2 linked regions of the Oryctolagus cuniculus genome follow. The protein of the gene in region 2 interacts with the protein of the main gene of each other region in a biochemical or structural test. Links are inferred from orthologs where the notes say so. Each region holds a gene or a part of one and is shown on either strand. Other genes may lie near its edges. The genes, in order: ITGA2B and RNF181.

Evidence for each region.
Region 1: the proteins of RNF181 (region 2) and ITGA2B form a complex in vitro, tested with the Homo sapiens proteins (2 studies listed by BioGRID). The link is inferred for Oryctolagus cuniculus from reciprocal best matches to the Homo sapiens genes RNF181 and ITGA2B.

The regions. Positions count from the first base shown.
Region 1 is NC_091448.1:18,912,614-18,924,024, reverse strand, and holds the start of ITGA2B (integrin alpha-IIb), read right to left. Parts: upstream 9,151-11,411; 5' UTR 9,071-9,150; coding exon 8,883-9,070; intron 7,122-8,882; coding exon 7,000-7,121; intron 6,909-6,999; coding exon 6,811-6,908; intron 6,707-6,810; coding exon 6,541-6,706; intron 6,297-6,540; coding exon 6,246-6,296; intron 6,173-6,245; coding exon of another isoform or gene 6,169-6,172; coding exon 6,127-6,168; intron 6,034-6,126; coding exon 5,905-6,033; intron 5,709-5,904; coding exon 5,661-5,708; intron 5,539-5,660; coding exon 5,495-5,538; intron 5,368-5,494; coding exon 5,314-5,367; intron 5,209-5,313; coding exon 5,156-5,208; intron 4,989-5,155; coding exon 4,777-4,988; intron 3,613-4,776; coding exon 3,430-3,612; intron 3,203-3,429; coding exon 3,157-3,202; intron 3,073-3,156; coding exon 2,968-3,072; intron 2,887-2,967; coding exon 2,831-2,886; intron 2,742-2,830; coding exon 2,590-2,741; intron 2,446-2,589; coding exon 2,320-2,445; intron 1,413-2,319; coding exon 1,345-1,412; and 7 more. UniProt on the Homo sapiens protein: Integrin alpha-IIb/beta-3 is a receptor for fibronectin, fibrinogen, plasminogen, prothrombin, thrombospondin and vitronectin. It recognizes the sequence R-G-D in a wide array of ligands.
Region 2 is NC_091433.1:117,050,180-117,061,648, forward strand, and holds RNF181 (E3 ubiquitin-protein ligase RNF181), read right to left. Parts: upstream 6,539-11,469; 5' UTR 6,403-6,538; coding exon 6,317-6,402; intron 5,758-6,316; coding exon 5,627-5,757; intron 5,446-5,626; coding exon 5,336-5,445; intron 5,173-5,335; coding exon 5,098-5,172; intron 4,878-5,097; coding exon 4,818-4,877; 3' UTR 4,734-4,817; downstream 1-4,733. Other genes in the region: TMEM150A (transmembrane protein 150A), read left to right, coding at 838-902, 1,298-1,345, 1,633-1,719, 2,275-2,342, 2,683-2,810, 2,991-3,168, 3,329-3,570; VAMP5 (vesicle-associated membrane protein 5), read right to left, coding at 8,509-8,718, 9,241-9,378.

The sequences.
Region 1 (11,411 bases), on a different chromosome or scaffold from region 2:
TCTCAGAAGACCCTTCTGTAGGGAAGGAGCCTGAGGGTCTCTGCACTGGGGTCGGACAGGGGAGGGGGTGGCTAGGTGCGCTCCCCGGAGCCGGGTACCTCCTGATCTGCAGCTGGAAGGATACAGACTCGCCAGCATCTTCCAGGTTCCCCACGCTCACCAGCATCGTGATTCCTATCTGGGAGACGGGGAGGGCCCAAGTCACCGCCCCAAAGCCCGCTCTGGGCAGCCCTGCCCTGAATGGGCTCCCAGTGGCCCCCCTCCCAGCTCACCCCGTACCCAGGACACACAGTAGCCAGGGGTGTGAGGCCCGGGATTCTAACCCAGGGCTCTCAGACTCCAAAACCTGGCCCGGGACCCGGCTGCGGCTGTGCCGGGCCGACGCCTTACCCGCGCCTGCTTCATGGGGTTGCCAAGCTCGCACAGCACCGCCTTGGTCTGGTTCTCCTTCCTCTGGTTACAGATGAGTCTCTCCAAGCCCTGGGGGGCGGGGCGGGGCTTAAGCTCCTTTGGAAAGGAGGTGGGGGGGGCACTTGTGTGCCTGGGTGAGCAGGGGCACTGGGGAGGTGGGGGTGGGATTCTGCTTTTGCGTCACTGTCACACTTCTTTTTTTTTTTTTTTAAGTAAATTTTCATTTGGGAAATAATAACCTAAAAATGCATTGCATAGAGAATGACCCCCTTGTTATAAACTACAGCAAAAACCGAAATCAATAGGTGAGGTGCCTTCAGAAAGTCTGTGGGAACATGGAATGCAAAGGTTACGATTATTTATGCCCAGAGCGTTGGAAACCTGCTGCTAGCTTTTTCATACTGCACGTTCTCCATGCACTTTCTTGCAGTGCCCTTTGTACCTCTGTTAGTGACTGTCAATCTTGGAGGAAAAAGACTGGGCACAGGTTCCAGCTACCACTTCGTTTCTGAGACATGTAGGGGTTTTTCGATTGAGTTCTCGAATTTTGTGCCATTAGGGAGCATTCCTCTTCCAAACACCTTATGTGGCCAAGCATACGGGACATGGGAGCTCTTGCAGTGGGATATGGACAGGGTGGAGGCTTCTGCACGTGTCAGGACCTGGCAGTGCCCTAGGGCTGGGCCTCACCTCTATGGTGCTCACTGCCCGCATGTAGTGGGCCCCCAGGGGCAGGTGCACCACCAGCTCTGCCTCGTAGGCCCCCTCCCCGTCGTTGGCCGCGACCATCTGCAGCTCCAGCACATTGTCAGCCCCAATCAGGAGTGGGGAGCCCTTCCTGTGGGGGGGAGGGAGAGGAGTGAAGCCAGGGAGGAGGAGAGGCGGCAGGGGGCCGAGAGGGCCGGGGAGGAGCAGAGTGGGAGGTCCCCTTACAGGCTGGCCGTGAGGTGAAGCTGGGGCACGCACACGTCATCTTCCCCACACTCCAGGATGATGCGGGTCTAGGGGGGCACATTGAGAGGTGTGGGTAACTGGGGTCCTCTGAGGCTTGGGGGCCACACCAGGGTTAGGAATACAACAATGGGCTTGGGATTCTTATCAGGGCTTAGGGAATAAGGGACCAGTGTTGTGGCACAGCAGGTGAAGCTACCACTTGGGATGCCGGCACCCCAGATCACAGCGCTGGTTCAAGTCCCCGCTGGTCCACTTCCAATGCAGCTCCCTGCTAATGCCCCGGAGAAGGCAACAGAAGATGGCCCAAGTGCTTGGTCCCCCCCACCCACATGGGAGACCAGGATGGAGTTCCAGGCTCCTGGCACAGCCCGTTTTCTGTGGCCATTTGGGGGGTGAACCAGTGGATGGAATATCCTTTCTCTCTCTTTCTCTCCCTCTCTCCATCACTCTGCCTTTCAAATAAATAAAGCAAATCTTACAAAAAAAGATCTGAAGCTGAAAAAGTTTGGAGTTGACCTCAAGGTGTAGGGGATATTGGGATTTTCGCTAGCCTCTCTCTGTATATATCATAAACATATAAACATACTCTGCACATACACAAACACTTGAATTATTTGAGAGGCAGAGAGAGAGAGAAACAGGCAGACAGAGCTCCACTGGTTCACTCCCCAAACGCCCACAGCAGCCAGCAAAGCTGAGAATTCAACCTGAGCCTCCCAGGTGGGTGACTTGAGCCACCTTCACTCTCTCCCAGGGTCTGTATTGGCAAAAAGCTGGGATCAGGCACTGGCACTGGGAATTGAACCCAGGCGCTCGGATATGGGATGCAGGCATCTTAACTGGTAAGCCAGATATCGGGGTGACGTCAAGGTCTGGGGGTACACATTATGATTTGGACACTACCCCAACCTAGGCTTTCTGTCAGGGGCCCTGTACCACTCCCACCCGTCCCACCTGCTCCTGCACGTGGGTGTTCCCGTGCAGGACCACGGCAGGGGCCACGCCAGCCTCCTTGGGCTGCAGCGACACGTTGAAGCTGAGCACGATGGGGCTCAGCTTGTCCCGGAAGTCCGCCTCATCCTAGGAGGGAGACAGGAGTCAGGCAATCTCGCTCCATGCACATCCTGCTGATGACCCCTGGACCCACAGCACCCAGCCCAGTGCCCCAGGGCTGGTGAATGCGGTGCACACGCCCAGCCCAGCCGAACCCCTGCCTGTGCGTACGCGAAGGAAGGCCGTGGTGTTGTGGCAGAGGCGGCTCTGCCTCCCGCCCAGGTCCATGCTCAGGGTGGTGCTCGCCTGCTGAGAGCCCAGCAACAGCACTCGCCGGCCCTGGCGGGGCTTCTGGCGGTCCAGCTGCAGCTCAGCCTGCAGGTCTGCAGGACAAGCAGGCCCGGTCAAGACCACCTGGCCAGCCGCGGGGGAGCCTGGGCCCTCCTCCCCCTGCGCCTCCCGAGCCACTCACACAGCCTCTGGGGAATGTTGTGCCCGGTGACCCCCACGCACATCTGGATGTTGAAGCTGCAAAGACGTGAGTGGGTTCAGGGGCGAGGGCCGGCCCAGGGACCACAGGTCCCGGCTGCCGCGCCCGCGCCTCCTCACCAGCTCACGGGGGTGTTGGTCTGGTGCAGGACACAGTTCTTCACAGCAGGGTTCAGCGAATCTTGCACCAGCAGCTGGACATCGGCCATGACCACCGGCTGGGCTCTAGCGGGACAGAGGGGCGCCTGCCGTTGCGGCCCCTTTGGGGTTGGCCTCCTCCCGCACCCCGCCCCCAGAGTCAGCGCTCACCTGTACACAACCACCTTGTCCGCCCCGTAAGCTCCTACCAGCAGGTCTAAACATTGCAGGAGGGGTCGGGATTGGCAGTTAGAGAGGGCATGGGGGCGGCTTCTCATCTCCCTTAGGGCTCCGCACACCACCTCCCCCGCCCCAGGAAGTCTGACCTGCTCCCCTCCACCCCAGGCTTCCCAGCCATACAAAGCGGTCAGAGCCCCCAGTGGGGCGGGCACCAGGTCAGGCCCGGGCCTCCTGGCTGTCTCTCGGCATTTGCAGCAAAGGCACCTGGGTATCCGTTGTCATCGATGTCTGTGGCACCTCTCAGACAGAAGCCAAAGGCAGAGCCCGCGGGGAAGGGGCTGTCCAGGACCTGGGAGGGATGTGGGTTCAGCCCCTCGCTCTGCCCCAGGTACACCAGCACTTGGCCCCGACCGCTCGGACCCCCGTAGGGCGCAGCCACCGCAACATCTGGAAAGGTAACAGGCATGGCTGCTTGTTATTCAACCCCCCCCCCCCCACCAGGGGCACGGCTTCCTGAGCTCCCTCTCTGGGCCGGCCCCGGAGGACCAAGAGAGGGCTGCCCAGTGTGAGGCCGAAGTTGCGGTCAAGTGGGAGAGAGGCTGGTCAGGCAGCACTGTTAGGAAAACAGCACCAGCCTCCACTAACCGCCGAGGAAAAGAGATCAACAAGATTTCATTTAATCCTGAAAATGAGGCATTATTCTACTAATTTTAGATAAAAAGTGTGGGCTCCAGAATATGGAGTAGCTGAAGCTTATTAAATACAGGCCCCCAACTTCCCCTGGGGCCCTGCGCTTCCCCCCCACAGACTCAGGCACACCCACAGGCTCTCACTCACCTTTGAAAGCGCACCTGTTGTCAGAGTGGCACCTCTGAGAACTCTTCGTGTCTGACACGAGCGCGTCTTTGATACGTGCCTTGCACCTGTCTACCCTTTGCCTCCCGATTTTGTTGACAGCATGTTTCCTACGCAGCTCTTTCTTTGAACTGTCTTCACTGATTTCTCTGACCTTGCCATAGGCTGAGCCGGCTTGTCCCACTGCCAGCCCTGGGTGAACCCAGCTCGGGGCACCATGAGCCCCTGACCCCAGTGCCCTGGAGGCTGCCCCGCTGCCTGGCCAGGTGCTGCTCACTCCTCCCAGTCTGCTCAGCACCTGTTTCTAGCTTCCTCCATCCTTGCAGCGCCCAGCCCTTGGCTTCTCACAGGGGACCGCATCTCCTACTTCTCAAAAGGGAAGTGGCCCCACCGTGGGCCACCAGCTCCCTTTACCCTGTTCGTGTTTGACATTGGAACAGGTGTCTCTCTTCACCCGGCACCGGGCTGTGTCCCCCCTGTGCATTACAGGAACCTCTTCTGGCTCCCCTGGCTCCGCCCCTGGTTCCTCTGGCTCCACCCCCTGGTCCCTCTGGCTCCGCCCATGACTCCTCTGGCTCCACCCCCTGCTCCCCATGGCACATTTTCTCCTGTTCAACCCCTTCCATTTTCCTCCACATTGAATTCATCTTTCCTGACTGAAGCCCCTCCTGGCTCCCCCTGCCCTCGGGTCAAGCCCAGGCTTTCTGTTGAGGCTGTTAACCCTCCTGCAGCAAGTGGGGGCTCCTCTCTCCTCACCATTGTAGCCATCCCTGTTGAGGTCGCCCAGGGGCGCGATCGCAGAGCCAAACCGCCCGTAGAGCTGCGTGCCGGTCAGCAGGAGGCTGGGTGCGCCCAGCAGGTGGGGGCCTTGCAGCTGCAGGAACAAGTACACGCGCCCCACCTCGGCCAGCTTGTGGTCTGCCTGGCTCGCCATGAACAGAGGAGCGCCCACCAGTAGGTCATGCCTCCTGCAGGCAGAGGGGTGGTCAGCTGGGGCTGGCTAGTGGCGGCTGGGGGCTAGGGCCAAATCTTGCCCACGCTGGCTCTCAGCTCCTGGGGCGGTCGTGCCCAAGGCAGGGCTGGCAGAGGCAACTGGGGAACCAACGGGGTAGGGGTGGGGCGTCCCCCTCCTCACCCATCCCCGTTGACATCAGTGACCGCCACAGAGTGCCCAAAATACGAAGCCATCTGCAAGGAGACGAGGGCACCTTCGTTTGTACCTCCCAACCCCCCAGATATTCTGTGGTCTTAGTTTCCTGTCTTCAGCCAGTCCCAGCGCGGCCCGGCCCCCACCTGCTCGCCCTGCAGCCGGTGCAGCCTGTAGAAGTAGGAATCCAAAATTTCCACCTGCATGGACAGTGCATGGAGCGTGTTACGTTTGCTCCCCGTGAGAAGGGCAGGAAGTCGGGGCGGGGGGACCGTGAGCCTGAGGACTGGGGACATTGATGCCAGTGGTGTGGTGGAGGGCACTCACCGCTCCCATGGTCCAGCTCCAAGTGGGGGCACCGAGGACATACTCTGGGGGAGAGCCAGGCTCAGCGGGCGGCATCTCTAGAGCCTGCTACCTCCCACCCGCTCCGCGCGCAGCTTCTCCCGGGGCTGGGCTCCCAACCCCGCCACTGAGCAGGTGGACTTCTTACCTGTTGTGCTGAGATCCCCATCGAATTCGCCCACGGCCACCGAGTACCCTGGGGACAAATTAAATCTTAGCAGGAGGTGCTGGGGGCGAGAAAAGAGGGGACTCCGAGGCCACCCAGTCCGAACCCGGCACCGCGCAGAGCCGTCCAGAGGCGGGGCGCTGTAGGCGCTGCGGAGGCTCCCGAGGGGCAGGACGTGGTCGGCGGGGCGGGCGGTGACCCCTGGGGTGCTGGGGCTCCAGATTACCTCGGTAGCCGTCGAAGTACTTTCGGTTGCTGTAGTCGAAGGTGAAGTTCTGATTGGGCACGGTCCACAAGAGGACGCCGGGGCTGTAACTCGAGATGATGTTGGCAATTGGAGCCCGGACCAGGAAACCTAGGGCGCGAGGGGCAGGGAGTGTGGGGGCCCAGACGCCAGGGGTCTCCCGGGGCCGTGAGAGGGGCGGGGGTCGCACCGACTCGCACGTACCTAAGTAATAATAGCCGCCCGGAGCCCCCAGCACCAGCTCTCCTTCCTGAAAGGGAAGCCCTGGAGGTGAGAAGAGCGCCCGGTTCGTGGACTGCCCCCACCATGCTTTTGCCTCCAACTTGCCTGGGTGATCACGGAGCTGAAGCCCGCTTCGCAGGAGCGTAAGTCTCCTAGGGGAGACGGCTCAGTGAACCCGCGGGGGAAGAAGCGAGCCTCCGCGCCTGCAGCGCCGCGGGGCAGTGCGCAAGCGCGAGGGGGCGGGGACAGGGTAATAAGGAGGCGTGGCTGCAGTCGGAGGGGCGGGACCAGGAGCTGGGCAGACGCTAAGGCCAGATTGGAAGCCGGGCTGGCGGAGGTTAGGGGCGGGGCTATGCAGTCTCGAGTGGGCGGAACTAGATGGAGGGTGGCCCTTACTAAGATACATTTTTTCGTAAACGTGGCTCATGGTGTTGCCACGACAGGGCGAGTACTCCGCGCGCCTCCCGCTAGGCAGATGAGCCACGAAGCAGCCGCCGACCGGCGTCTTCTCGGCCTCCGCTGCCTTTTCCAGGACGTTCCATTGCTGCCAGGGGGCGCAGGCCTGGACAGGGCCACGGGAGAGTGGGGAAGGGTGCGAGGCTCGGGCTCCCCCGTCCCCAGCGCATCCCCTCCCCGACCGCCCCGTGCCGGTCTCGGGGCGCCCACCACAATGATGTCATTCCAGCTGACGACCGACGCCCCCAGGCCTTGCCGGGCCCTGAAGGTTTGGAAAAGTTGGGAGCTCGTTTTTCGGTACTCGTCGCCTGGAGGGCACAAGAAGGGGTGGGGCGTTGAGTCCCATCCGGCCGTGAACCTCCCCCTCGCTCCTCCCTTCCACCCTTGCTGGGGACTCACTGAGGTTGAAGGACAGCAGGCTGCACGGGCTGCCCTCGGCCTTCCAGGGGCACAGGAACACGCCGCCCGTCTCCTTTTGGCCGAGGCCCAGGGTCCGCGGGGCGCCCACCACGATGGCCACGCTGCGCGGGAAAGCAGGGTGAGCGCGGCGCGGTGCTGGGAGCGCGCCGGGGCCGTGTAGCCGGCGGGCACCGCATCGCTCTCCTACATGGGACCTCACACTTTATTGTGAGAGAGGGAAATCCCATGCCTAAAGTAACCCAGCGAGTCGGGAGTGAAGCTGGAACTGATCCCACGGTTTGATTTGAACACCGGGGGTTCGGTATCCGTGAGAAAAGTATCGCCTACGCTGTCGGCGTCTCCACCGTCCGACCACCAGCCACCACCAGGGTCTCGCGTGCTCCTGGGAACCAGGTCCCTCCTTGGGAGGGGGTTTGAGTGCTGAGGGAGGCACGCGAAGTGGGGCGGGGGTGCGTGGGAGCGGAGGGTCCCGCCGGGGTAGTTTTACCTGAGCTCTGCCACGTGTCAGTCAGGCAGAACGCCAACCCATGTACTGCACGTATACGGGGCGTTTAGCACGGTCCCAGTCCAACAGGGAGCAAGTTCATTGAGGAAGAACACTTTATTTTTTGGCACCCAGGATGTTTACTACGTAGTGCCCATGGGACCACTAATCGTGGAAAGGAGGGGGAAAGCAGCAGCAACAGGTGTGGAGCTGAGATTCAGACCCAATGTCAGATGGGGGTCAACACCCGGGGGCTGCTCCGCTTCCGATCCAGTTCCCTGCTAACATGCCGGGGAGGGCAGTGGGGCGATGGTCCAGTCCTTGGGCCCTAGCCACCCACATGAGAGACCAGATGGAGTTCCGAGCCCCTGGCTCAGCCCCAGCCCAACCCTTGCGGCCATTTGGGGAGTGAACCAGCAGATGGAGGACTTCTGTCTGTCTCTCCCTCTCTCTCCTTGCTGGTCTACCTTTCAAGTAAATATATATTTTTAAAAAGAGTTGAACCAAGAGGGTGGACCCTTACCCCTTGCCCCCCAAACAGTTTTCACTGATCATTGAATGGGGACCACCTCAGGAAGGGGACAATGTCCACTAGGACAAGTAGCCCAGGGTAACACAGGTATAAAAAGGAGGAGCCAGGTAGGCAGGCACTGTGGCATAGCAGGTAGAGCCACTGCCTGCAATGCCAGCATCCCAAATGGCTGTCGGTTTGTCCTGGCTGCTCTACTGATCCAGCTCCCTGCTAATGGCCTGGGAAAAGTATCAGAAGCTGGCCAAAGTGTTTGGGTCCCTGCCACCCACACAGGAGACCTGGAAGAAGCTCCTGGCTCCTGGCGCAGCTCTGGCCACTGCAGCCACTTTTGGGGAGGGAACTTAGTGGATGGAAGATTGTTCTCTCCCCTTTCTGTAACTCTTCAAAATAAACAAACAAAAATCCTAACAAAAGGGGGGGGCAGGACTCTAACCTTGGTAGTCAGATTCCAAAGCCTGATCAATTCAACCATTAATGACCGATTGCTTCTTTTCAAATTGCTAATAACTGTGATGGGGATAAGAGAAATGGAGCCGAAAAGAAGGCCGGATAGACAGTTTTATAACTGGCAGACCAGCTCAGGACATGTGCTCTTTTCTGTATCCCAGCAGGATGATCCTCCGGGCAAAGCCAGGCACGCGCTTTGGGCCTCCCTTTGTTTCTGCTGTGGCCTCAACGCCCACCTCCCCACCGGTGTTCCTCCCCCTCACACCTGGGCCAGCTGTGCCCAGCAGACCCCAGAATTCACCTTGTTCAACTGCTCTCATCCACAGGGAACTTGAGTAGTGATGTGCATGTGTGGGGGGCCCTTCTCTCCCCAGCATCCAAATATCCCCCAGGGCTCACCTTCCATGGCTGTCCTTGTAGAAGTCCAGTGAAAACCCAAAGTGGCTGCCATTGAGGCCCGTATAGATGGTGAGCTGCACTGGGTCCAGGTTCAAGGCCCAGGCTGGAGGTCCAGCACCTGGACCCAAGAGCAGCAGGGCCCATTCCAGAAACCAGAAGGCAGGCAGTGGACCCAAGGCTCTGGCCATCTTCCTTCTCCCACAACCTCCTAGGCAGGAATGGGTCAGCTCCTTCGTCTTCCCTCCAGTTCTCACCACAGGAAGTCTTTTCTTATCAAACTGGAACCCAGCGTAACTTGCTCAACAGTAGGCAAAGGGCTGGCCCTGGACCCGGACGGTGTCTGGCGTTGCCAGGAAGGGGGTGAGGCCCTCCAAGGGGTGGATGCGCATGGCCAGAAGTCACATCTCCTGCCTTTCCCAGGAGCAGCTGCTCACCACGTCCCCCCGATCCTGCCTCTCAGCTGTCTCCCGATCCTTCACCCCAGCTCCACTACCTCCATGCTCGGCCACGCCATCCTCACTTGGTGCCCGAGAGTCCAGGTGTGGACTGATTGTTCCTACAACGCCACAGGTCCACCCTGGCCTGCAGTCCTCCAGCTCCTCCCTCGCCCCATCGAGCTGGCTGCATCGCGGTGGCGCTTTGTAACTCGGCCAGGATGGGGGCAGGAACCCGGAAGCTGCTGCCCCTTGATAAGACCTGAGGCTGCCCTTTTGGGATAAGGCCCTCGCCCACTTCCTCCTTCCAGGGCCTTTGGCAGCCTGTCATGCTTATTGGTGCAGAAGCTTCCTCACTCTTCTATCTTGGGCCAAGTCTTCGTGTGGCCACAGCAGTGCAGCCAGTGCTGGTACAGAGATGGCGAAAGGATCTGGCCTAGCAAAGCGATGGGCATAGAGTGGAGTCACCCCAGGGTGTTCTGGCTAACGAGCTCTGAGATTTTCGCACCAGCTATCAGTTGAAGGCGGGTCCTCACCCCTTGCATGATGGAGCTCTCATCCAACCAATCAAAACTCGAGTCTGGTTGGGGTCACTGCCTCTAGGAAGGCTCCCCCAACTCCGCAGACTAGCACCCTGGGCTACTGTCCCCAGGTCTGCTCATTGCCCTGTGCAGCAACTCCCTGAGAGCAAGGTTTCTTTCTGCAGCCCCAAGGCCCAGCCGAGAGCCAGCTGCTGGACTGCGCGGAGGCGTGCGCTAAGGATAGGAGAGGCAAACACAGCGGCAGATGAGTGGAACACGAAGGCACGTTCCCTGGGCAGGAGGAGTGCCAAGTCTCCCTGGCACTGCATGTCTTCCCCGAAGTGCACTGAGGAGATTCCGGAGGGCACCAGCGGGAGGAGGGCCCGGCTGCACCCTCCTTTTGGAGTTCCCTGCTCAGACTGCACTGGCGCCGTACTCTGCTTGACTACCCCGAGCCATCTGGAGTCACTTAAGCTCCTCCCTTCTCGTACTTCACCATCTCAGCTCAGTTAAAAATATGACCCCTGGGGCCGGCGCTGTGGTGCAGTAGGTTAATCCTCCGCCTGCGGCACTGGCATCCCATATGGGCGCCAGTTCTAGTCCCGGCTGCTCCTCTTCCCATCCAGCTCTCTGCTGTGGCCTGGGAAAGCAGAAGATGGCCCAACTCCTTGGGCCCCTGCACCCGCATGGGAGACTGGGAAGCTCCTGGCTTTGGATTGGCGGAGCTCTGGCCATTGTGGCCATTTGGGGAGTGAAACAACAGAAAGAAGACCTTTGTCTCTACCTCTCACTGTCTGTAACTCTACCTCTCGAACAAATAAATCTTAAAAAAAAAAAAAAAAAAAGTATGATCCCTTAAGGCTAAAAGCTTCTTGGACTTCAGTCTGGGCCTTCTTCGCTGATGAATTCCCAGTGCCAAGTTCACGGCAGACATGTAATACATCTGCTAGAAAGCTTAGCCTAGTCCTCTACTTAGTGTCAACTAAGTGGCTACCGTATCACTGGTGTATTCCATGAAGCCCCACATGGATATAATAAACACTTACTCTAAAACACTCAGTAGGTCAGATAAAGATGACCATGAAGGGTTCTTAGCAAACTCAGTCCAGAGGGAGTGAAGACATGCACACACAAAAACACAGCAGAGGGACAGTGAAACACGCCTTGGAATAGATACAGGCCATGAACATAACTTCTATCAATGGATCCACCTAACAATCCTATGGAGTGGGTACCGTATATTGTGTTTATTTTATAAACACAAAAACTGTGGCACAAGAATTTCAGGTAAATTGCAAAGCAAGATTCAAACACAGGCTGTACTTGAACCCATGTTCACGTTCCGTTTTGCCTGACCAAGAAGGAGTCTTAGGCATAGGGAATGACATAGGCGGAGAGCACCGAAAACCCCACAGAGGTAAATTATGAGGAGAGCAGCAGCTGATTCAGCACAGAGCCCTTCCAGGCGGAGACAGGGCACAGCAGTGCAAAGGCAGGCTGGGGCCAAAGCCCTGGATGTCCTTGAGTGCCACATTCGGGAATTGATGGGAATCAAAGAAGAAAATCCAGGAGCA
Region 2 (11,469 bases):
TCCACGTCCCGGCGGGCGGCGCGGCGCGGCCTGGGGCCGCCAGGGGCGGGGCCGCTCGGCCCTTTAAACCTTTCAGGGCTGCTCCGAGGGCCGCAGCCGGAGACGGCACCACGAGGGGGCCGAGCAGGGCGCGGCGGCTGGGCGCTACGGGGAGGTGCGTACTGGGCTCCTTCCTCTCCTGGGGCCTCTAGGGATTCCTTGGGGAGGCCCCCGTCCGCAGGTCCCCAGGGGCGGGAGGTTTGCCGGCAGCGGGCTCCTGCCCACGCTGGGGTCCCCGCGCCCACGCGAGCGGGGGCCGGACCGGGCTTCCCGCGTGAACCCGCCCCTTGGCCAGGGCGCCGTGATCAGGTGGTTGCCTGCGCGCCGCCGCCTCACCGCCTTCCACCGGGCCCCCGCACACCGTCCCTGCTTTCTTTGGCGTGGACCCCTCGATTGTCTTAGCTCCAGCCTTCTCCCAACCCGGGTCTCTCAGGAGAAGGAGGGTGACTCGCTTTCCAGATGTTACAGCTCAGCTTGAATCTCTCGGCATGCCGGCGGCATGCCGGTGGCGTTTGGGTGGTCCGCGGATACCCCCTCGGTGGATGCCAGGGGTGTCCACGTAGGAGCCAGGGTTCAGCCCAAAGTTAATGGGCTCCTAGGCCCAAGGGCAGCTCCGGATGAGATGTTGACCACCTCTCTCCCTCCCCTTCCCCCCTCTCCTGGCCGCTTACCAGACCCTGGACTTTGATCTGTCTCTCCCCACCAGGCCAGGGCAGCTGATGGTTGTGGCCCGCCCCCTCCTCCCCGCCTACCTCTTGTCCTCCCCCCACACCACCACCACCCTGGCTCCCCTCCCTCATGACCGCCTGGATCCTCCTTCCTGTCAGCCTGTCAGCCTTCTCCATCACCGGCATATGGACTGTGTGAGTACAGGGGGAGGCGACAGGAGCTGGGGGGCACACAAAGCCCCTTGTCCCGTTGCAGGCTCCAGGGTGGTACCCGGGGTCACTCTGGCTGTCTCCAAAGCCTGGCCTGGTGCCTGGGCACACCGCCCCTTGGGACAAGCTGGCACCACTGCTGTCCAGCAGCGTCTCCCTGTCAGACTGACTTCTAAGCTCTAGAGGGGACGACTTCTAGAGGGCCATGCGGCAGGCTTGGGTGTGGTGTGGTAACATCAAGCCTCAGGGCACTCCAACTTGAGCCCCCAGCAAGGACAAGGAGGCTGACTGGGGGGAGAAATCAGAGTGGAGGAGAGGAATTGGTGGGGGGTGGCCAGGCTGGGAGGGGTGGGGACGGGGTGACAGTTCTGCTCCCGCAGGTACGCCATGGCCGTGATGAACCGCCACGTGTGTCCTGTGGAGAACTGGTATGGAGCACTCTGCAGCCTCACCTAAAGCTCCCTTGCGCTCTGTCCCCCAGCCAGATGCAGACCCTAGGCCTCCCTGTGTCCCCAGTGTCACGAGCCCCCCAGGCATGGCTCCCTGCCCGTCCACCCACTTCCCACCATCCCTTTGTCCCTCCGGCTTGTTGCAGGCAGGCCCTGGTGTACGGCTCTCCTGCCCCTGCTGGGGAGGTCCCTCTCTGAGACTTGAGACTACAAGCCAGAGGCCAGGGCACCCCCTCCCCCAGTCTACTCCCTGTCCTGCCTGCCAGGTCCTACAACGAGTCCTGCTCTCCTGACCCAGCTGAGCAAGGGGGCCCCAAGACCTGCTGCACCCTGGACGATGTCCCCCTCATCAGGTAAGGCCTGGAACCTGGGCAGGTCAGGGAGACCCTCAGCCCTCCCAGACTTCCAAAACAGCCCTGGCTGCTCTCGGGGGTCAGGAATAACCATTATCCTAGGGGTAGTCACGATGCACTGGGCCTCTATGCATAGTCTCTCATCCTCCTCCCACCGGTGAGGCAGCTATTGTTTCTATCATTTTATCTATTGCTTCAGAAACCGAGACTCAGTGTTGTTGCTTGTCCGGGCCACACAGCTGGTGAGTGGAGGCATGAGACTCCAGGCTCAAGCCTTCTGATTGCCCAGCCCACATTCTGGGCTAAGGAAAGCCTGACCAGCCGCAGGCCTCGGCAAGGAGTCTCAGGTCTACTGACCACTCCTGGCTGCTCCCTTCTCTCCCCGACACGTGAGCTCTGCTTAGAGCCAGCCACACGTGAGCAACACGGGCCTTTCACAGAAATCAGTGTCTTGCCTACAAAGGAACGGGCACAGATAAAGCAGGGGAGAGCCTCCGGGCCAGAACGGGGCTCCCCTGGGACTCCCCTCTCACTCTGCCCTTGCCCCTCCCTCAGCAAGTGCGGCACATACCCCCCAGAGAGCTGCCTCTTCAGCCTCATTGGCAACATGGGTGCTTTCATGGGTGAGTTGGCCCCGCAGCCCCACCTTGCACACGCCCCCTCCCCAGAAAGGCCCAGGAAGCCCTCGTCCAGCTCAGCCCTCCCCCACGGAGGGCCAAGGCAAGCGGGGCAACCTGTGTCTCTCCCATTCCTTGAAGGCCAAAGGCCAACTCCCACATAGCCCACACCGTCCACCCTGCTGGTCCGGGCCTGAGGAAACCCAGCTCACCACATGTTTGTCCACTGCCTTCCAGCCCTCAGGGCAGGAGCACCAGAACTGCGGGCAAGCCGGCAGGCTCGCTGGGTGGGGCCGGGGCTGGAGAAGGATTCAGAGCCAGCCCCAGCTCTGCTCTCCTCCTGCAGTGGCCCTGATTTGCCTCTTGCGCTACGGGCAGCTCCTGGAGCAGAACCGGCACTCCTGGGTTAACACCACAGCACTCATCACGGGCTGCACCAACGCCGCGGGCCTCGTGGTGGTCGGCAACTTTCAGGTGCCCTCCTGCCCACCCAACCTGGCCCCTTGAGCTCTCCCGTACAGGGCCTGGCTGCCTGCAGGGGCAGCAGCACCTCAAGGCTGGGGGCTGGGGAAGGAGAGAGTGGGAGGGAAAGGAGAGAGGAGGTGGTGGAGTGCTGGGGCCTCGTCACAGACCAGCCCTTCTGTCTGGGCCCAGGTGGATCACGCCAAGTCCCTGCACTATGTGGGAGCTGGCGTGGCCTTCCCCGCGGGGCTGCTCTTTGTGTCCCTGCACTGCGCCCTCTCCTACCACGGGGCCGCCACGCGCCTGGATCTGGCTGTGGCCTACCTGCGAAGTGTGCTGGCTGTCATCGCCTTCGTCACCCTGGTCCTCAGTATCCTTCCAGGACTGGGCAGCCAAGAACTCATCCTCTAGCCCAGCCCTTCTCCCATCCAGGATGGCGGCGGGGAGTTGGGGGGAAGGCTGATGGCGGGGGAGGCGCTGTGGCCTGCCGCCCACACATCCTCCTGAACATTTCCTTAGCCTCATTCCAGGTGGTGTCTTCTTTGTCCACGAAAGTTCTCAGCTGCAGCACGGGGCGGCGCTGTGCGAGTGGGTGTTTGTCATCGATATCCTTATTTTCTATGGCACCTTCAGCTATGAGTTTGGGGCAATCTCCTCAGACACACTGGTGGCTGCCCTGCAGCCTGCCCCTGGCCGGGCCTGCAAATCCTCTGGGAGCAGCAGCACGTCCACCCACCTCAACTGCACCCCCGAGAGCATTGCCATGATCTGAAGTCTGGGGAGGGTGGCTGGCCTGGCCTCCGCAGCACCCCACCCCATATCTGCGTTTATTTTGTACCAAAAACAGTGTGAGAAAAGTATTCTGTTGGGATCTGGGCTTCCCTGCTTGCAGAGAAGTGGCCAGCCCACGTCCACCTGTGCCATACAGGAGCAGGCCCTGCCTCAGCAGCATGACCTGTTCCCCCACGCCGAGGTGGCGTTTTGTGTTTAAAGGTCACCTGTCCTCACTCGCCCAGCCAGCCCTTCAGGTGCCTTCTTATCCCAGTGCCAGAGCCAGACCACTGGGGTTCCTGCTGCAGGAATTGGGGGGCTGGGAACAGCAGAGGGGATAGGAGCCGGGGGGGGGGCACGCCTTAGTTTATGGGAAAGCCCACTTCTGGGCCCACTGAGCTGCACTGGGATTCTTCACTCTGCCTCTCACTTCCTTTAGGGCAAATAACACAGCAGAACCACGGGGGTATTTTAGTACTTTTTTTTATATACCTATTAAAAGAATTCTAATTTGCATCTTTGTAGTCTGTTCTGGAGAGTCAGAGAGGGCCTGGTCCAGGATGGTTTTCCCTAAGCAAAGGAGGGGAGGAAGCTCTGGAGTCCTAAGAGCAGGACTGCCAGGAACACGTGATGCCAGGTGCCATGCGATGCCCCACAAGGACCTGGGGACCTGCGTTCCTTTCTGGGCCTCTCAGACGAAACAGCTGACCTGGTCTGATCACCTCACACTTCTTTCCCCCACTAGGAATCCAGTTTGAGCTTTGATTCTTTGGCACGCGCGGTGGGGGGGGGGGTGCTCTAGGGAGCCACTTTAAAAATGGTACACCCAGTGTTCTCAATGGAGCTGCAGGAAAACCCGCGGGATTCTAAGCATTAACTAAAAGTTCCAAGGTTAACTAGAAACTGCAGGGGGACGGGGATGGAGGCTGGTTTATCAGCTCTAAATGGCCAGATCCTGCTATGTTGTGCCTTTGAACCATAAAAACACAGAGGCCCAAGCCCTGGCTGGCCCAGTGGTCAAGGTTCCTGGACTCGGGCTCCGCTGCCCTGAGTGTAGACAGGCCAGCAGGGAGGGAACAAGAGCCCGACGCCTGCCTTCGTGGTTTAGGACCACCTTCACCAACAGCAATGGAGACCTAGTGGAGGATGTGAAACCCCGGCGAGGCAGATAAAGAAACCTTTAATGAGGATTCAAGGTGCAAGAGGAAGCTGTTGTGGCCTGCCAGCCAGCGCGCAGCCCCGGCCGCCTCACGTGTACATGGCTCCGTGGAGGTACTCCAGTCGATGCTGCTGCTGCTGCTTTCGAGCCTGGAAGACAGAGGGCACACTGGGCAGGGACCAAACCTAAAGGTCTGTGGGGGAGGGGCTGGGCTGGGCTGGCTCTCCCTGGTCTTAAACCCCTCCACAAAGTCTCTGGGAAGGCAGTCAGAGATTCTGAGGTCTACCCAGGCCTGCTGAAGTGGGGAAGGAGAGCTGTGAGAACAAGGGGCTCAGGGAAACCATCCTGGCCCCCCACCCCAGCCTCTACCTTATCTCTTCTGTGCTCCTCGTAAGTGTCGTCATCAGTGGGCAGCTCGTGGCGGCACAGGGGGCAGGAATTTGTCTGGCAGAAACAGGGCAGTGTTCACAGGGGTCAGGTCTTCACCCTTAGAATCACCTCCCCTACTCCCAACTCCCACCCTTCCCTGATCTCTCAACAGTCTGTAAACCAAGTTAGAGACCTGGGCCCAGGGGCAAGGTGAGGACTGGAAGAAGGAAACCAGTACCTTGCTCAGCCAGGGCAGAATGCAGTTGGCGTGGAAGAGGTGGTGGCAAGGCATCTCAATGACAGTCTCTTCCTCCTCAAATTCCAGAAGGCACACGGGGCACTTGAGCTCTTTAGGAGGGAGCGCTGATCAGAAGAGCTGCCCGCAGGTCCCCCGCCCAGCTCCCACTCCTGAAGGGCGCCCTGGCCCTGGCCCTGGCCTGGCCACTGACGGCCAGACCCGAGTCCGGCTGGAAGAAGGGGGAGCATCTGTCACTTTGCCCCCAACAACAAGAGGAATGAGTGGCCTCACCAGCCTGAGAGCCCCTGATGACTGTCCTGGGGAGGTTCTCGACCACAGCCTTGGCGGCTGGTGGAGGCAGGTGGTGATCCCAATCTACTACCAACCCCAAGTCTTCAAAGTCCATCCGATTGAAAAGTGACCTGGGGAGGAGGGTGCAAGGTTGGTCCCCAGGAAAACCAGACCTCCCGTTTGTCCATCATCTACTGGGCATCAACAGATAAATGCCCAACCCAGCCAATAGCAGTAACAGCTACCCTCAGAGGGTGCTAACGAGATAAAAGGCAGGATGGGAAATAGTTTACAGCTGCTGTCTGATAACCCCAGCACGCAGACTGATCATTCCCATTTTGCACATAGGTTGTTACTCAGATAAGTTCCTCAGGCCACGCAGGAACGAACTGGAGGAGCCAGATTGCGGGCTGGCTGTGTGGGCTTCCGGGTTTCCGAACCTAACCCGCCGTGGCTCACCCCTGGCTCCCAGAGCTGGCTGCCCACCCGCCCCGACTCCCACCACTCTCCAGTTCCAATCTTCCCCTCAACTTCCTTGCCCCGGTTCCGCCCCCCAGAAAACCCCCCAATCTCGCCTTCCGGACTAATATTCCACATTATTCATCCGTCCTGCCCCAGATAATCCTTAACCAGTAAGCCCCAACCCAGAAACCTACTGCCCGGACGCACGCCCGAACCCCGCGCACCCACCTTGCGAGCTCCAACAGCATGTTGGTTCGCGTCTCCCGTTCTGGGTCCAACGGTTCGCAGTTGTGTTCATCAAAATAGGACGCCATGGCTATTCCACGGTCTGACACAGCGCTCGGGCCCCCGCCCCCGGTCGCCTCACAGTGCTGGCCAATAAACTGGCAAGTTGAGAGAGGAGGGCCAATCAGAGTATCTAACGGGCGGGTATAGTGGCTCACTAAAAAAAAAAAAAAGCCGGAAGTAGTAATTTGGGCGCCTCTCATTGGCTAGGATAAATCAGATGATCAAAGAGTAAAGCCAATGGCAGAAACCAGGGCTGGTTAAAGGGTATGTAGGAATCCAAGACCAGAGAGAATTCCCGGGAATTTCTGGCGTGATAGCGTTTTTGGTGCTCTGGAAGGCCGGGCGTCTGAGCAGTAAGGGTCCTCAGTGTGCCCTGAGGCCACGAGGGCCTCGGTCATGCGACGCTAGAGACCGCTCGGGAGAGGGGGACGCGTGTACGAGCCCGGCTGGAACGATGGCTCTGCGCGCGGCTCTGCCCATGTCCCCGCCGGGCCCTTTCGCCCCGCTGCGCTCAAGTTGGTTCAGTGATTTGCGCTTGATTCCTCCCCAGCCCGCGGAGGGCGGGGAGCCTGCGCATTTCTCGTGAGTTAGGTAGAATAATAAAGGTCGGGGCAAGCCTCCCAACCAAAAGGCAGAGGTCTGTGCCCTGTGGCTTCACCTGCCCTGGAACGGACTGCCCATCTGTGTGACCTTCAGCCCATTGCTCAACCTCCTATCCAGCATCTGTAAAACCAGGGCTTCGAACTACAATATTTGTATTCCTGCCTGCACACGAATGATGAGAGGTGCGGCTTTAGAAAATAACTCCAGGGCTGATGCCCTAAGAATATTCTGATTTAAGTTCTGCCGATTCGAATGAGAGAACCACTGCACTCAATGTCTGGGACAGCTACTGGTTGGCACCTGGAACTGTGATGGATATTTTCCACACCGCATCAGTAATTCTCCCAATGGTCCTGGGGGCTATGCATCCTTATGTCCTTTTTACATCAGTAAAACCTGAGTTACAGCAGTGGCTTCACCCAGATTACACAGCCTGTAAGTGGTGTGGCTGACCAGGCAGGGCTAAAGGCTTGGCCCTGTCTTTCCCACCACCGGAAGGTGAAAGCCGTGACCTCTTGGAGGGATGAAATTCCACACAATTCTCAGAGCTTGTGGTTGTTCCTGTCGGTAGTCCTCACTCTACTGAACAAGCATCTGCTTATTTTACACACTTGACTCTGAATTCCCCCTGCCACTCTTCCTTGAGTTTGAGCTGTGGTTAAGTGACCCAGGGAGAGGCTGCCCTGCCTCCACCACTTTGGTTGGCCTTCTGTGATGTTGCACAAAGATCTGTGCCGAGGCCCTGAAGGTACCACCTGCTAAGCCGTGGGTGGCCCTGGAGCTTGAAAAAAGCCCGAATGAATCCTTTCCTACAGGACAAACTCCAGGCCACACTTTGTGTCCACAGCACCACAGGAGCTCTGGGCACCTGCACTCTGGTATGTAAAGGCTGAAGAAGAACCTGGGCCGGAGAAATTGGGGAGGGGAAAGTGTTCAGGGGCAGCAGGGGGGAGGTCTAGCTGACGGTGAGAGACTCATTTACAGAGTTTTGACGTCTTTTCCTCTTTGGCATCCCATCTCGCAGCTCCCCCCCCCCCAAGATGTCAGAAAAACAAGATGGGTTCAAGGGTCTGGTTTGGGGGCTGCTGTGTCCTTGCCCCCACACCTCAGAAAGGTCTGTCTGTGTAGGGCTGGATCAAGTAGGGAATCGGAAGCGGGTTATACTGCAGGGGTGGAGTCCTTTGGGTGGCAGGCTTTCTAAGCAGCCCTGAGGGTGGAGGCAGAGCAGGATATGCCAACCTGGGGAGCTTCAGGCACACACGTGCACACGTGCAGCACACACATCATCATCATCTTTTAATCCAACAGCAGCTTTTACTGAGCTCCAGGTGGGGCTGGCCCGGCATGGCCAGTGCAGGAGGCCGCCCTTGAGGGCCAGTCTGTGGCTTGTTGGGAGATGCAAAGGTACCCACATCTGGGCTGCCCTCTGGCACTCACTGAGGTGGCTCAGACAGGAGCCAATAGCAGGGTTCTCTGGAGACTAGAACTGGCCCGTGCAGCTCTTCGGCCTCTCTCCAGGCCCAGCTGGGTCATTCCCCAGATCCTGAGGCAGTGGTTGCATCCTGGGCTTGTGGGGCAGTACTGTCTCCACTGTTTTGCGGGAGAAAGACGGCCAGCAGTACAATCAGGATGATGAGCAGGCCTCCGGCCACCACCAGCCCCAAGTAGACCCGGCAGCGGATATTCTCCCAGCGCTTCTTCTGGGCCACGATCTTGGTTGTCTTGCTGAAGGCTGAGCTCTGTGGACACCCGCAGACACAGTGGGAGTTAGCATCGCTCCATGGCCTCAGAACCAGCGCCTCCCAGCCTGGCCCCGGAAGGCCTCCTCTCTCCTGCATCCTCCCCACCCTGTCCCCCTCCTCCACAACCTGCCCCGCATCTTCCCAGCCTCACTCCTGGCCTCAGGCTCTGGTGTAACCCCTGACTTTCTGCCCTACTGGCTCAACCCGCCCCTCCCCCCTTGTTAACAATGCCAGTCCCCACCCTTAGGAAGCTACATAGCTTCACATTATTAAGGGAGAACATAAAGCAAAATTTTATGTTCTCCCATAACAAAATCAAGAATGTCTTATTTTTGAAGGCAGGCCATTGCATACCTACTAGGAGTGCCTCAGAAACCCAGAGGCCCCATGCTGGCCCCTAACCCCCCCCCCCCCCCCCAGCCACCACCAAGTGTCTGTATACCCTGGGCAGAGCCCGAGCGTTCCCTGCAGGGCCTTCGCCCAGCCCTCCCTCCCCTCCCTGACCCACGGGCCTCACACCATGTCCAGCAGTTGGTCCGAACGCTGCTGTAGCTCTGCCAGCTTCCCATCGCGCTCCAGGACCTTGTCGAAGTTGTTGAGCATGATTTCTGTCACCTCGTCGGCCTGCCGCTGGCATCGCTCCAACTCTTTCCCTGCCTGGGCACCAAGCCCCAGGTCAGGGCTGCATGAGGCCCCCCCACCCCGGCCCTCATCTGGCCCTGAGACCTACAGTCCTCTCCCCCCACTGTGTGTGGATTCAGCATGTGAGTAACAGGATCCTTCGTGTAAGGGTGTGATGTGTTGGGGGGTGGGGCTGGGTAAATGCCACTCGCCATTTAAAAAATTTTTTTGTCCTATCTTTTTAAAAAATAGTATTTGAAAGGCAGAGACAGAGAGAGACCTTTGATCTGCTGGCTCACTCCCCCAAATGACCAGAACAACCAGGGCTAGGCCAGGCTGAAGTCAGGAGCCAGGAACTCCATCCAGGAGTCTCCCAGGTGCATAGCAGACGCCTCCCACGTGCCTCAGCAGGGAGCTAGATTAGAAGCAGAGTAGCTGGGACTTTAAGCGGCACTCCCAAACACGATACAGTTAACCTGCTGCACCACGGCACGGCACGGCACGTGGCCTCCGCGGCTCACCTTTGGTCTCACAGTCTCCTCCCCTTGCCCATTAGGCAGGACATAAATCAGTCCTGGATTCCAGCGAGGACCCTACCCTCCCACAAAGCACCTGCCCTGTGGCTTCCCACTGACCTAAAGAGGCAGCCAAGCCACTTGGCTGGAAGCCAGACAGGGAAGACACCCACCCTTCAGGCTAAAAAGGTAATTTGGGATCAGCATTATCAATCCAGCCTAACCCTCTCTTCTTCCCCTAAACTGAGCAACTCAGATCTCCTTCCTGGCCACTTCTGCCTCTTGGTCAGGAGCCCGCTGACCACATCAGCGGCCACAGTCACTCCCTCTCTGCCCAGGAAGCTCAGCTGTCTTAGCCTCTGGCCTCCCTCTTCCAGTTAGCCAGGGTCTTCACTGGGGTCCAGCTCACTGCCAAGAGACCAACCCTTCCTTGGATTTTTCCCAGCCTGAACAGCTTCACCTAACAGAAACACAGCTCCTTTCAGAGGGCTGGAAAGGGAAGGGCAGCTTGCAAGCCGGGAGAGGTTGAGGGCACGGGAGAAAGGAAACGTCTGGGTCATGAGTAAGACTGGCACCTGGCTCTGCCTGGGCCAGAGAGACTCAGGGCAGGAGGCAGGTGCAGGTGCAGGTGCTGGGACATTTCAGGGAGATGACTATCGGCAGATTAGCAAAGCCCAGCAGCTCCTCACCTCAGCCTTGATCCTCACCTCCTCTTGGCAGAGAGTATCAGCTAAACTCCCTTTCCTGCCAGCCCACATAGCCACTGTCTGCAGCAGACCGTTTGGCACCTCAAAAGCAGAGGACTTAAGTGTTGGGAAGGATCCAGTAGTCACAGAGGACCACCTCCTCCTCAGGCAAGAATCCCCCCTTCAGGATCCTTGCAGCTGCCTTGCACACAGCTTGCATGCATTCCCAGTGAATGAGTCCTAGCTCTCCAAATGGACCACAAGCTCCCAGGGAGAGGGCCCTGCCTCCATCTGCCATCATCCTGGGGGGCCCAGGAGGCCGGCACAGTGCTGACCATTGCAAGGGCTCAGTCAGTGGGTCACCTGCATTGTATCCAAAAGCAACTTGCATTCTCAAGAGATGTTCCCCCAGTGTGTTTATCCAGCCCAGCAGGAATTTTGCAGGGCAGGCATCTGAAACCCAAATAGGTCAGTGTTTACTCATGAGCCTGAAAAACAACCTGCTTCAAGCGGGGTCAGGCAAAGCACTGGGAGGAGGGGTGCTCACAGGTTGGGGAGCACAGAGGAAGGGTGAAGGAGGGCAGGGAAGCTTTTCCTGAGCCAGCCACCCTCTTTGCCATGGCTGCCCTGTTACTCCCTGAGGCTCCGTGATGTGATCCTTTGAACTCCCCCACATTCCAAGTCTAAGGCAAAAACTCGGTGACGGGCAATGATTTGGAAATAAGAATCACTGCTAGAGACTGGTGGGGTGCTGGGCATTATTTTTGCTACTCTGAATGTGACAGCTGTTGTTCTCGTTCTCCAACAGGGGTGATGTGGGGTCACATTCTCCGCGGAGAGCTGGCTGGGCCTCCAGCTGTTATCTGGAGCAGTCTCGACACTGCGAAGCCAGGCCTGTCCAGAGCCAAGATGGACCCAGGCTGAAA